Linked DNA regions of Mus musculus. The protein of the gene in region 1 purifies or fractionates together with the protein of each later gene. This does not show direct contact. Links are inferred from orthologs where the notes say so. Each region holds a gene or a part of one and is shown on either strand. Other genes may lie near its edges.

Region 1 (6,902 bases):
ACCCCACCCCATTCCCTACAATGCCGTCACTGCACACAGAGCTTGTATTCTAGTTTTTGCTACACTGGTCTCTTCTGCCTGGCAGTGGGTCACTAAGAAGCAGAATGGATGACAAGGAAGATGGGAGATAGAAGAGAGGAAAGAGAAACAGTTTCCTTAGAAAAGGCCGCTTGGCAGTTGTCAGAGAACCCAGACTCTTTGGAAAGATACAAGTGTGCTGTGGCCGAATTCCAGCAGCAGACCACCATGCAGACAGAGGTTTACACAGCGCCCTGCCCGATGTATGTACTGTGTAGGAAGATGGAGGCCAGTTCTCTCCTATTAGCATACAGCCTTGCTGAAATACAAAAAGCATTTGCCCCAGTGCTTTTTGAGTCTCCAGATCTAGACGGCATGCAAATGCTGAGGAAGCGCAGATAAAACCTCCCTCGCTGGCCTATCGCCCTGCCAGATGCCAGCCACACAGTTATGCTGAAGGAGAGGCTGGAGGGAGGCAGGGGTAAGAACATGACAAATGAGTGAATCTACGTGAGAACATTTACCTAAACCCAGGGAAGGAAATAAACACCAGGTAAGCATGCGGGCACTTAGGAGACAGTCTTCCTTAGAGTTGCAGAGTCTGAAGAAAGGCATTTTAAGAAAATGAATTAGCTCTAAGAATTAAAGCAGGCAAGCAGCCCAAATGGATACCTGTTAGGAAAGAAATGGCTAGAAAAAACTACAGCTGTATAAACATGCCCCCCACATGGTTAGGCTGCAGCATGTCCACTCCTACAGTGGGAACATATCAGCGAAACAAACCCTGGGAAGACGTGGAAGGATCAGATCAGAACAGTTACCTATTGGGAGAAGGAGGGGTGCAGAGAAGAAATAAAGGACATCCCCAAGACACATAAAGGAGACCAATGGCTGTGGACCCATACATCCGCACATATGATATGTTTATAACGCAGAGAAAGCAAGATGCTTTTTAAAAGTTCAGATGGAAGAAGCAATAGCGGAGATGGAGATCACCCAGGTACAGTGACAGTGCTGACATTCTGAAGTCAGTTCAAGGCAGAAGCATTGTCTAAGCTCTCCTTCTGCCTACGTTCCTGCCAGCTCTGGAAGAGACTGTCTTCATCTGCTAAGGAACAGTATCTGTTGAAGGACAGTTTGGGGACAATATCATTTACCAGATGCAGCAAAGCCAGGTGGTTCTAGACCCAGCCAGTGTTGGGCAGATTCGTAGCACTCATCCCTAGGACACAGCAGTGGAGATGGCTGTTAGTCACATTTCCTTCTCATTTGTGTTTTGAGACAACACTCGCACCACAGGGAAAGTGAGGTCATGAGCATGAGGTGGGGGCGGTAACTCCAGAAATCGGGAGGAGGCTACTACTGTGCAAAATAATAGCACCGGAAACACCAAGGAAACTCTGGCAATGGACTCAAGTAGGGAATGAATGAGTGTGTAGGTTCCAAACTTTGTTAGTCCAGTCACCCTCACAGTCACAATGTTTCCTACTCTCTCCAGGTGGCATGTGAAGGACCTGGTCAACTCTCAGGCAAAAATTCTTCTTGGCCAGAGCACGCACCCCTGCTACCCACCCTTCCAGAACAGGCTTTGTAGCCTCACTTACCTGGATCCTCTGTTTTAACTGTTGGAACTTTTCTTTCACCTTAGTATTCAGTTCAGTAAGCTCACTTAAGGGTCCAGAACAATCTCGAATATCCTGGAAGGCAAGGAAGAGATGAGGGACCTTTCTCCCGTCAATGAAATGAAGTGTCCTCATCGGCACAGTGAGAAAGCAGATTCAGACACAGCTAAGGTGGCCCAAGCTCTACCTTGTCCTGCTCAGTGCTGCTCTCCTCCACACAAGAGCAAACTCCTCATTTTCAGCTTCCTCATTCCTTGTAAGATTAACACCGAGAGCCTAATATGAATAAACAGACTGGATGCACAGTTCAGTAGTACAGCACTTGCAGAGCATACTTGGAGCCCTGGCTTTCAACAGCAGCAAAACACACACACACACACACACACACACACACACACAGAGAGAGAGAGAGAGAGAGAGAGAGAGAGAGAGAGAGACTCATGTGCACGCATGCACAAATGCACACAGACATGAATACACACCCCTGCATGCACATAGACTCCATATGCATTGTGTGTGTAGATAGGTAAACCTCAACCTCGTCTTAGATGTTTAACAAAGTGCCACTAGGAAAGGCTTAAACAGCTTCCATGTTCAACAGAAATAGACATCTAAAAAATACTGTAAGTTCAGATCCTTCCAACTAAATCCCTAGTGACCTGTAACAAAGTTAATTTAGTCTGATTTTTACAAACCATCTGTCGCAAGTCAAAAACGTTTAAAGATGAACTGAGAATTTGCTTCTGGAAAGAAAGTCAGAATTATGAGAGCCAAATTTTAGAGCAGGTTCTAGACTTAAGCTACATATATTCAAATCCTGCGTATAGCAATTTATTAGTGCAGTCTTGGAAAACTTCAGTTCTCTGTGCCTCCATTTCTTCACCTTACCTACGTCAAGATGGTATTTCTCTGTGTAGAACACTTAGCAGAATAGCTGGAACACTGAAAGAATACAATGTATGGGGCTATGCTTACTCACTAGTAACCATAAGAACCCAAAACACATATGTCACCAGAGGCCTACCTAACAGGAAACTATGATAATATGAAGTATTATGATGCTATTACATAATTTTATATTATGATATAATATGAAAACCCAACTTTTCAAATTTTGGATATAAGGGTTTTTTTGTTTTGTTTTTTTGAAGACTCTATGTAGTACAGGCTGGCCTCAAATGCATGATGGTCCTGCTTATGCCTCCCAAGTGCTAGAGCCACTACCCTAGCAACTCTGTGTTATGTATGTATATGTATTTACATGTGCATTCTGAGGACTGAAACTAGAGCCTTGCACATGGCTAAACTTTAACTCTACTCTGAGCTAAATTTACCCCCAGCCTCTGGTAATCTCACTTGTATAAATCTTGTTTATTTTTCTAGAATTGGCCCATTTTTTTTGTTTGCACATCTCAGGAGTAAAGTTTGCGGCGTTTCTTTACCTGTTCTCTAGCTTACTCACAAAATCAACACTTCCTCACAGCACAGGATAAACTGCTAATGTGGCAGAGTGTACATCTGGCTTACCAGAGAGCACTACTCTCCATGCTCCTTTTTATAGGGGCTAGTAAAGCCAAGCTTACCCCAACAGCTAGGCACAGCCCATTTATGCAGCACTGGGGATGGCGAACCCAGTGCTGGGCAAAGTCCTCACCAGCGGAGTCACACCCCTACCCTTTCCTTATTTGCTGTCACAGCTTGTATTCTGAGCCGGTTGGGTTCTTTTTGCCAAACTCTGGAGCCATTTCTACATTCCCTGTTCTTGCTTGTGTTCCTGCACTACTGTCTCCTACTTAAGACCTGCTTCCAGATAAGCGCCTCATTTTCCAGTCTGTTTCCGGGTAGGGAAGCTCTAAAATGATTTTCCTAGGCTGGCTTTCCCCATCCAGGTCCTAATACTGGCACTGCCTGCCTTCTGACCCAGGATCTTGCACAATATTTGAATTCTTTGTTCAAAAAATTACAACCACGTCCCAGGTTAACTTAGTTAGCTTCGGGCAGGGACTGTCGGGCCAGGTGGCTTTGGGTGCCTCAGGGTCCCTAACTTAGGGAAGTGGGCGTGGGAGGCGAGCAGGGCGAGGGGTGGGGCGGGGCTACAGCCGAGAATGCGGGTGGGCGGGCTAGCCCAGCACGGCTGCAGTCCAAGGAAAGGGAGCGGCGTGTTAGGGTAACTCAGGGGTGGGCAAACCAACAGTTCACAAAAGAAAAGCCTGAAGGTCAGTGATCTCGGGGAACCGACCGAATGGTGCCTTAGGAGCCATCCTGGAACCGGACCAGGCGCGAATATTCTGGAAGATGTCAAGGCGGCCATCGAGAGCCGGACAGGAGCCTAAGAATTTGTACCTGGATAAGCGCCTTCACCTCTAGGTCGAATTTGACAATCTCTTGGTTACAGATCCGGACGTGGACATCCTGGGGAGCCGCCATGTTGGAAATGCGGCTACGGCGAGCGGCAGCAGCCAAGCTTGAACGCGTTCACGTGGCTCCTGCCCGCCTTTCCGTACTTCTTCAAATGTGATGCTGCGGGAGACCCCGTGTGGATCAAACCAGGTCAAGAGTCCAGACCTGAAACTTTTCTTGTCACGTAGAACACGCACAGCTTCTCTGGTCTGCTCCTACTAAACGGAAAAGTGGAATGTGATTATGAAGAACCATTAGAGTTGGGGTGGGGGGGAGGGGAAAATACAACTCAGGTGATGATAGGCTGGCATGCCACATGGCCTTCAGGTTTGTTCCCAGTACTAGAGATACAACAACAACCCGCTATTCTAGTGACCTTTTGGATGGAAAAAAAAAAAGGATCAATTCGGATGTCACCAAAGTTACATTTTTTTTCTTTAAAATTTAAAGCAAAATGTATACAGTAGGTATGCATTATGGAGGAAGACACAAAACTTGTAAAGGTGCAGACTTAAATACAGGTCACTGGGGCACCTCCATTAGTACAACCATGATCCTGCATTGTTGTCCTTACACATTTCTATGGCTCTGGTCCTGCCCTTTGTGTAGAATTGGATTCCAAGTATCTCATAGGAGTAGTTCTGACTGTGTGGTGTGATAGAAACAATGTCAGTGCAAACCTCAAAGAAGGGTAGTGTTTTTTAAAATTATTATTTCTTAAGCCCTCAACACCACTGGACACTTTTCCCCCACCCTCCGGGATTCTCCAGGCTCTGTCGTCTTGGATATGGGTTCCCTCTTTTTAAAATGTTTTTCTCAAACTGCACACACAGCCCCCAGTCTCCACGCCTACCTGTCCCAAAGCACCCTGTACCACCCACTTCCTAAAAGGTGCTCAGTAGCTGGCTGCAAGTATCAAAGGCCTGGATTCCAGGCTTGTAATCAGTTTCCTCAGTAGCATCACTCCTAAGTTAGGTCACCTAGAGGATGGAATGAGGTGTTGATAATGTAGCATTGAACTCAGTGCTCACTAGTTGCTATACATGTACTGTTAAGAAACACTCTGGGAGTTACTTCCCTACGTGCGGCCATTTTCTATGAAATGCTTCTGCCCAGCAGCTGCACTTGATTTGTTAGGCTATAGAAGTGGAAGGAAGAGGGGGTGGAGGACGATGACAGAACACACGGGACAGGTGAAAGGCCCTAAGTATTTTCTTTGCTTTTCTGAGGCAGGGTCTCACAGAGCCCAAGCTGGTTCCCAGCTACCTATGTAGCCAAGGATGACCTAGAACTGCTGGAATTACAGGCACTGATTAACACCGCAGCTACTAGACATGCATTTTAGCTCCACACAAGCTTTCCTATATCCTTTTTATCTGGGTGTGGTAGCATATGACTTTATCCCAGCACTCAAGGGGTAGAGGCAGGGAGATCCCCATGAGTTCCAAGCCAGCCAGGACTGTGGTGTGAAGCCTGTTTCGTCATACTGGTTATATCAGTTTACACTGCATGAGCAAAACTGTGGAAATGCCTATTTCCTTATAGCCCTACCAGCTTGGTGTGCTGACACTGGTGTTATCATTTTGTCTCTTTTTCAAAAAAACTCCTTTCTTTTGCATCTCTCATAATGAATGAGACTGAGATTAGTATTCACATGAGCTGCAGAATTTGTAGACTCTGACTTTGCTGATGGTGCTTTTTTGCCTTAAAGAGGATTTAAATTTCCATAATTTTGCATAGCATTGGGAGATCTTCATGACTCTGGACTTGGGTCTATGTTAAAAAGTCCTTCCTCTTCTACAAGGATCAGCGTGTCTGTCTACTGCTTATTCTTTAAAAACCCACTTGTATGCTTAGCCATTTTGAAATATATGTGGTTCACAGTGTGAGACGCAGAACCAGCTTCACACTTTCTAGGTTACTTAGTGGCTTCAACACTAAAGGGCCCCCCGTTTGTTTCACTTCGGTTCTGGATGCCACATTGACCATCCTGTTTTTCTGTGTATTCCAGACTACTTTCAAACTCTACTCTACTTGCCCGTCTACTCACGCTCTGAATGTTTCTATACAGAGACTTCTGTATGATAGAGGATTGAATACTTGATTTATCCTCTTCCAACTACAACATATTTCCCACCTATTTTTCTCTCACTACTTTAACATATTCTTGGTTTGTTTGTTAAGATGGGAGTCACATTCTCAATGTGACTCAGTGCCAGTAACTCCTAAGTTGTTGACAGGTCCTGCTCTGGAATCCAGTGTGTGTTTTCATTCAAGTTTCTTCTGTATTCTCCATAGTACACTTTTCTTTCAATTTAGTACATTTTCTGTTCTTTAATTCAAGCACTATTTTAAGATGAAAAACTTTTAAAAGAACTAGGTTGCCATTCAAATCACTGCAATGTTCTGGGTAAAGCTCCCCACTGAAGACACTGGAGAAAACCCACAGTCAGCCCTGGACAAATTGTTCTCATGTGTTTGGATCCTAGCCCATCATCCTTCTTGGGGAAATTTCTACGCAATCAGCTGTGTCTGCAGCAGTCAAAGCAAGGAGCTCCCCATCTCTCTTCTTTCCAAGCCATTTTGTTCCAGTAAGACAACCCTAAGCTGGAGGCTGTCTTGAAGGAGCAGTCACATACCCCCTGCACCAGCCCTGAATCCCTTCTAATCTTGCTCCTTTTGTTCAGTATCTGTCTCTGAACTCCTCTACACTGACTAGCTTCAGATCTTTGACTTTCACATTTTAAACAGCTTGCTTTCCTCTGCATGGGCATTCTTTCAAATACTGGCCTGGCAAACCTGAGGTAAATATGAATTATCCTCAGAACGCCTCAGGCAGATTAGAGTATGAACTGAACTGTA
Region 2 (5,495 bases), on another chromosome or scaffold:
TTAAGTTTAAGGTTAGCAAAGAGCTACTACAAACACTGCCAAATGCAGAAGTTTATCACTTTATTAGACTACTTATTTCCCTGTACAAATAAAACTAATTGCACAAAATATAAATTGAGATATTAATTTGAACATTGTAGCAACTATATAAGCAATTACTGGAGAAGTCTGCGAAAAGCACATTTTAAACCGGGTTTAAAAAGTGTTTTATATCATCACCCCTTCAGAGCTGAAACTCGCACCACAGCTGAACATAACAACACTCAAAGAATTCAAAAGCATGCAACAAGCAAAATCTGAAGAAGTAACACACAGCAACTCAACCACTGACCATAGCTGATGTAACAATAAGAGTAAAACTGTTCTTGTTGTTAAGACACATACAACACACGGATCCAACATACGGGCATTTCCTAGGCAGTTGAGCCCACGTCAGAGGAATCAGGGGTCATCAGGAGATGATCAGTAATGACTAAGGGAACAAGAACTAGCAAGTATACTGAGGTGTGTGGCATCAGCTTACACCAAATCCTTGAAATCCTAATCTAAAAACCAGGTTTGCCTGAATGTCAACATCTCCACCAGAATCAGATATTCAAACCCTTAAATAATCAGAAGACAGTAATCTTTGTAAGAATTGAAGGCTCACCTGTACCAGATGTACTGACGCAAAAATAACAGATGATCTAGAATAAAAAGAAACACTTGTCCTTTAACAGTTACTTGTAAACAACTTATAAAATAAAGCCAACTTAATATATACTATAACTTTTACAAGATCATATAACTTTTTATATTAAAATCCAAGTTTGCCAGGCAGTGGTGGCACATGCCTTTAAATCCAGCACTTGGGAGTCAGGGGTAGGAGGATTTCTGAGTTTGAGGCCAGCCTGGTCTACAGAGTGAGTTCCAGGACAGCCAGGGTTACACAGAAAAACCCTGTCTCAAAAAAACAAAACAAAACAAATCCAAGTTTATGGTTTTTGAAACACTGAAATATTTCCCAACTACAAAATTTCAAAATGTTTTGAGATGTTAAATCAAGCCATTACTAGAAATTATAGTAAATTGCTCTTTAAAATAAAACTATACAAAATATAAATCAAGATATAAATTTGAACATTGTAGCAACTATATAAGCAATAACTGGAGAAGTCTGTGAAAACCCAATTTTAAAAGGGTTTAAAACTGTTTTACATCATCACACTCTCACACTCTCCTCCTCCTCCTTTTTCTTCTCTCTCCTCTCTCTCTCTCTCTCTCTCTCTCTCTCATGCACTCTCTTACACACACACACACACACACACACACACACACACACACACTTCCATGCACGCAGCTAGGCACACCACGGAAGAAAAGTCTGAAGAACGTCATCTCTAAGTTGCAAAATAAAGAAAATTCTATTAAAATATGTCGGTATTTATACTTTCAGTTTTTTCTACAATTATTTTGATCAGTTATATATATATTTTCTAAATAAACCAAGACTTCATTTATGATTATGAAAATTGAATACATTAGAACTTATATAAAATCACAGCTAGCCACAAATTTTCTATTTCTTTAAATTGAATTTTCTCTTCATAAGGAACTCAGATGTAAATTGAGGACGGCCTTCAAGGCCCGAAGGCAGGTAGTTACATTCCCAAAGAACACTGTGGCCAAGTCCCCACAGCCAACCATTACAGCAGAGGGCTGGAGAGCTGCCTCAGTGCCGAGGAGCACTGGCTGCCCTTGCACAGGACCTAGGTTTGGTTCCCTCCCAGCACACTCATGATGGCTCACAAACACCTATAACTTCAGCTCCATGGGATTCTACATCTCTTCAAATCTCCATGGGTTCCGGCACACATCTGGTACACACGCATGTATGTACTTAGGCACACACACACATGCATACATATAATATGTAATAAATAAATATAAAACAACACTTAACTTGTCAGCCTAGAAGAACTATATCAATCTGTTAATTAATATTATAAAGCCCTCATGGTTCAATAAGGCTGATGCTCAACTCTTTTTCAGACTCCTCCTGGTTCATAGGTAAAGTGCATAGTTGTGAAAGGAGAAAAACCTGTCTATGAACTATATAATACATAAAATGCAAGGCCTCTTTACCTCTGATTGCTTTTGTGATGATGAATGATGCACCGTGCTTTCGGTTGCCTCTGAGCTAAAATAAAATAAATAAATAGATAAAAACTTACAGTTGAGAATTTTATAATACTTGAAACATTTAAATTTATGCTTCTCTACTTATATCCAGAGCACTGAATACCAGCATCAGTATTTTAAAACTTCTTACAGGTTGCAATATGAACTGTGTGTAGTAGCAATAAGAGTGAGAATTATGTTCATAGATCCCTGTCAGGAAGAACCCCAAGGTGAGGTTAGAAACAGTTTCCACATCAAAACACCAATGAAAAGAGAAGGAACCACAGGGGCAGAGCTGAGCTGTGTGGTAGAGAACTTGCCTATGACGTTCAGGGGCCTGGGTTTGAACAAAGACAATACTAATTGCCCAGTCAATGCAGTCTATAGGGCAGGCACAGAGACCTAAAACAGATTTCACTAAGAGGAAAAGTGATTACCTATTGTGTATCCATGGAGACAATGTTATTAACAAAACACAGATATGTAACTACTACAGTAATTAATTTGAGTCCACAAACGTAAACTGAATGGCACTGTCTGTAGAATAAAGAATAACAAATACAGTGAGTAGAGTGCTTTCAAGTTCTACCAAGAATAAAATGAATAAGTAATCAGTAAGAACAGATACGTTACTCCCTAGGACGCTCGCTTAACAAACATGAAGGAATCATCAGGGAACAATTTGGCACAGTGGAGGGATATAAAGTTGATCCCAGGCAGAGCTTATAGGGCAACAGCTGTAGGAAACAGATGTAGAAATCAATAAAGAAGGCAGATAAGAAAAGGCAGAGGACAACGAGATTTCAATATAAGTTGACTCCGTGTTGTTTTTTTAATCAACGTATAGTGCTAAGCATTGAGACAGTATTACAGACATTTCTGAAATGCTAGATATCTTTATCCAACTTAAAGGCGGCAGCAGCCTCTCAATTTCATCATCTACAAAATGTCCACGTCACTCACTAGAAACCGAAACGAATAACAATATATGCAGCTTTTTGCCATTACAAGACCTAATTGAAGACAAGCAGAATAAATACTCAGAAGACAAGGTAAAGGAGCTCACTGGGCCAGATTTAAGAGTCTTCCTAGCCATGCTGCTTCCCCAGGGCCTAACACACGGGCATGCCAGGCACTTGATACCATGTATGTCAAGTAAATGGGCCTTGGGCTCCTGCTTTCACCCTATGACCCGAAGGCTTTCCCTAGGAAACTAGTAACTCCAGGGTCCATAAGTTGGCAAACACCACAACTTTGTCTCCAGCAGAATTGGAGAACCGCTGCTTCTTTCTCTCCACTCCCTTGGCATTCTACTCAGCCAGCACTTCGGGCTTGGTAATGAGAAACGTTCACTGGATTGGCTATCTCTCCTCCACACTGCAAGTTCCATGAAAACACTGTCTCTGAATGCCCAGCAGCCTGCACCATATCTGGGGTCCGAGTGTGTGTGTGTGTGTGTGTGTGTGTGTGTGTGTGTATCACACACACACACTGAGAGAGACAGAGACAGAGAGAGACAGAGACAGAGAGAGACAGAGACAGACAGACACACACACACACTAGTAAATGCGTATTACTGAGACTTTTAAAGGACGATAGAGTCCTGCGAAATTCTCCCGCCACAGGTAACAAGATTACAAGGCAAGTCCGGATATGACAAGGACCTAGGGAAGAAGAGTGACACTGACCTGCCGAGAGGGTGACAGCCTGAGTGGGGATACACAGCCGAATTCGGAGCCAAGGCTGACTACAGACACCCTTCAGCGAGCCCTGGACCCGGCAGCCCCGCCGTTGCCAGGAGACAACACAGCTGCTATCCCCGCTCCACTTGCACTGCGTGGCACCGCGACGTGGCTTTACACGCCCCGCGCCCGCGCCCGCGCCATGCCTACAGCCTTAAAAAGAGAGCCCGGCTCACCTGCACTTCTGTCTCAGGTGGCCATTCGGTATTGACCAGCAAGTCATAGAGAATCGTCTCCTCCTCGTCCGCAGAGCCGGGACTCAAAGCCGGCGCTGACTCGGGGGCCGCCATGTTGGCCGGGAACAGAGTGGTGGAGGGAGGGGCACTACGGCGACTCGCGCGGGTCATACTTTCCTGGACGCGGCCGCTGGTGATTGGCAGAGTGAAATGAATTAAGTGCGGAAAGGGAATGCTAAAAATGACAGAAAGGGAATGCTAAACTTGACAGATCTGTGGGTCTAAGAATGGCCTTGTCTTGTATGAGATATGTCTTGGACCCTGGTCCACTTTTTGTTCATTTGTGCCTGAAATGAGTCAAGTCACTGAACTTTTCTTACCCAGTCAGCGTCTACGAAGCTGCAAGAACCTCCCAGAGTGCTGGTGTTCATGTACAGATTCTTCTGCAAACACAGAACGTGTTCGGAGAGTGGACTTTAAATGTACCAAGGGGTTATTCAGTTCACAGGAAGGGTGCTTTAGGCACCTAGAAAAAAACAGTGAGGCTGATGAAGACACCCTGTAACAAGGAGAGCTTGTCAGCTGTGTAAGAGAGGATGTCCTAAAAATCACCATACAACATGGACTAGCCTCAGACCCAGTCCTCCTGCCTCAGACCCAGTCCTCCTGCCTGAGCCTCCCCAGTGCTCAGAGTACAGAGATGTGCCATCAGGCCCAGCCCTGGGCCTTCAACTATAGGTAGAAATTGGGTTCACTGGAAGTCAGGAGAGAATATATCAGTTAGGAGGTGCACAAGACATAGGAAGATTACGTTGCTATAACAGACAGGGTGAATAGAGAGGCCAAGCTGAGAAAGGGTGTGGAGGACGATAAAGATAGGGCAGCTTGAGGATTCCCTAGAGGGGAAACTTACCTCATTTGCTTGCTCGTTTATTCATTCATTCATTCATTCATTCATTCATTCAGCATATGCCTGTCTTTGCAAGGCCCTTTAGTGTAAGCAGAGCCAATTACGACCAAGACGACCACATTGTTGTTGAGTTGAAAAGAAGTGAAAATTCACAAGATACCTTTCAGAAATTATCCTGTAGAATAACCAACTTAGTGCATTAGGCAATGGTATAATAAAATGCACAACTGGAGCGTGTCTAATTGTTCCCATGTCTCTCCAAGTTCATCTGCACCTTGTACTCTCACAGCTAAACTTTTGCCACACACACACACACACACACACCATTCAACTTTGCTGTTTCTAAGACAACAGACACACATAAACATCAGGAGATCTGACACGGATGTTCTTTGTACACAGAGGTTGTACCTGATGTGGCTCTGCTATTGCTCTCTCATCTCCTTCCGGTTGTAGTTTAAATGCCACCTTCCCTCCGAACTCTTGTTCCTGTCTAAGTTCACACTC

What was found. The genes of interacting proteins can lie anywhere in the genome.
Region 2: the proteins of Bnip1 (region 1) and Nbas purify together in Homo sapiens (co-immunoprecipitation; 3 studies listed by BioGRID and IntAct, with this or other methods). This does not show direct contact. The link is inferred for Mus musculus from reciprocal best matches to the Homo sapiens genes BNIP1 and NBAS.

Annotation. Positions count from the first base shown.
Region 1 is NC_000083.6:26,778,258-26,785,159, reverse strand, and holds the start of Bnip1 (vesicle transport protein SEC20), read right to left. Parts: upstream 4,082-6,902; 5' UTR 4,068-4,081; coding exon 3,984-4,067; intron 1,894-3,983; exon of another isoform or gene 1,828-1,893; intron 1,716-1,827; coding exon 1,623-1,715; intron 1-1,622. UniProt on the Homo sapiens protein: As part of a SNARE complex may be involved in endoplasmic reticulum membranes fusion and be required for the maintenance of endoplasmic reticulum organization. Also plays a role in apoptosis.
Region 2 is NC_000078.6:13,267,848-13,273,342, reverse strand, and holds the start of Nbas (neuroblastoma-amplified sequence), read right to left. Parts: upstream 4,217-5,495; 5' UTR 4,193-4,216; coding exon 4,079-4,192; intron 4,023-4,078; exon of another isoform or gene 3,849-4,022; intron 2,180-3,848; coding exon 2,125-2,179; intron 687-2,124; coding exon 650-686; intron 1-649. UniProt on the Homo sapiens protein: Involved in Golgi-to-endoplasmic reticulum (ER) retrograde transport; the function is proposed to depend on its association in the NRZ complex which is believed to play a role in SNARE assembly at the ER. Required for normal embryonic development.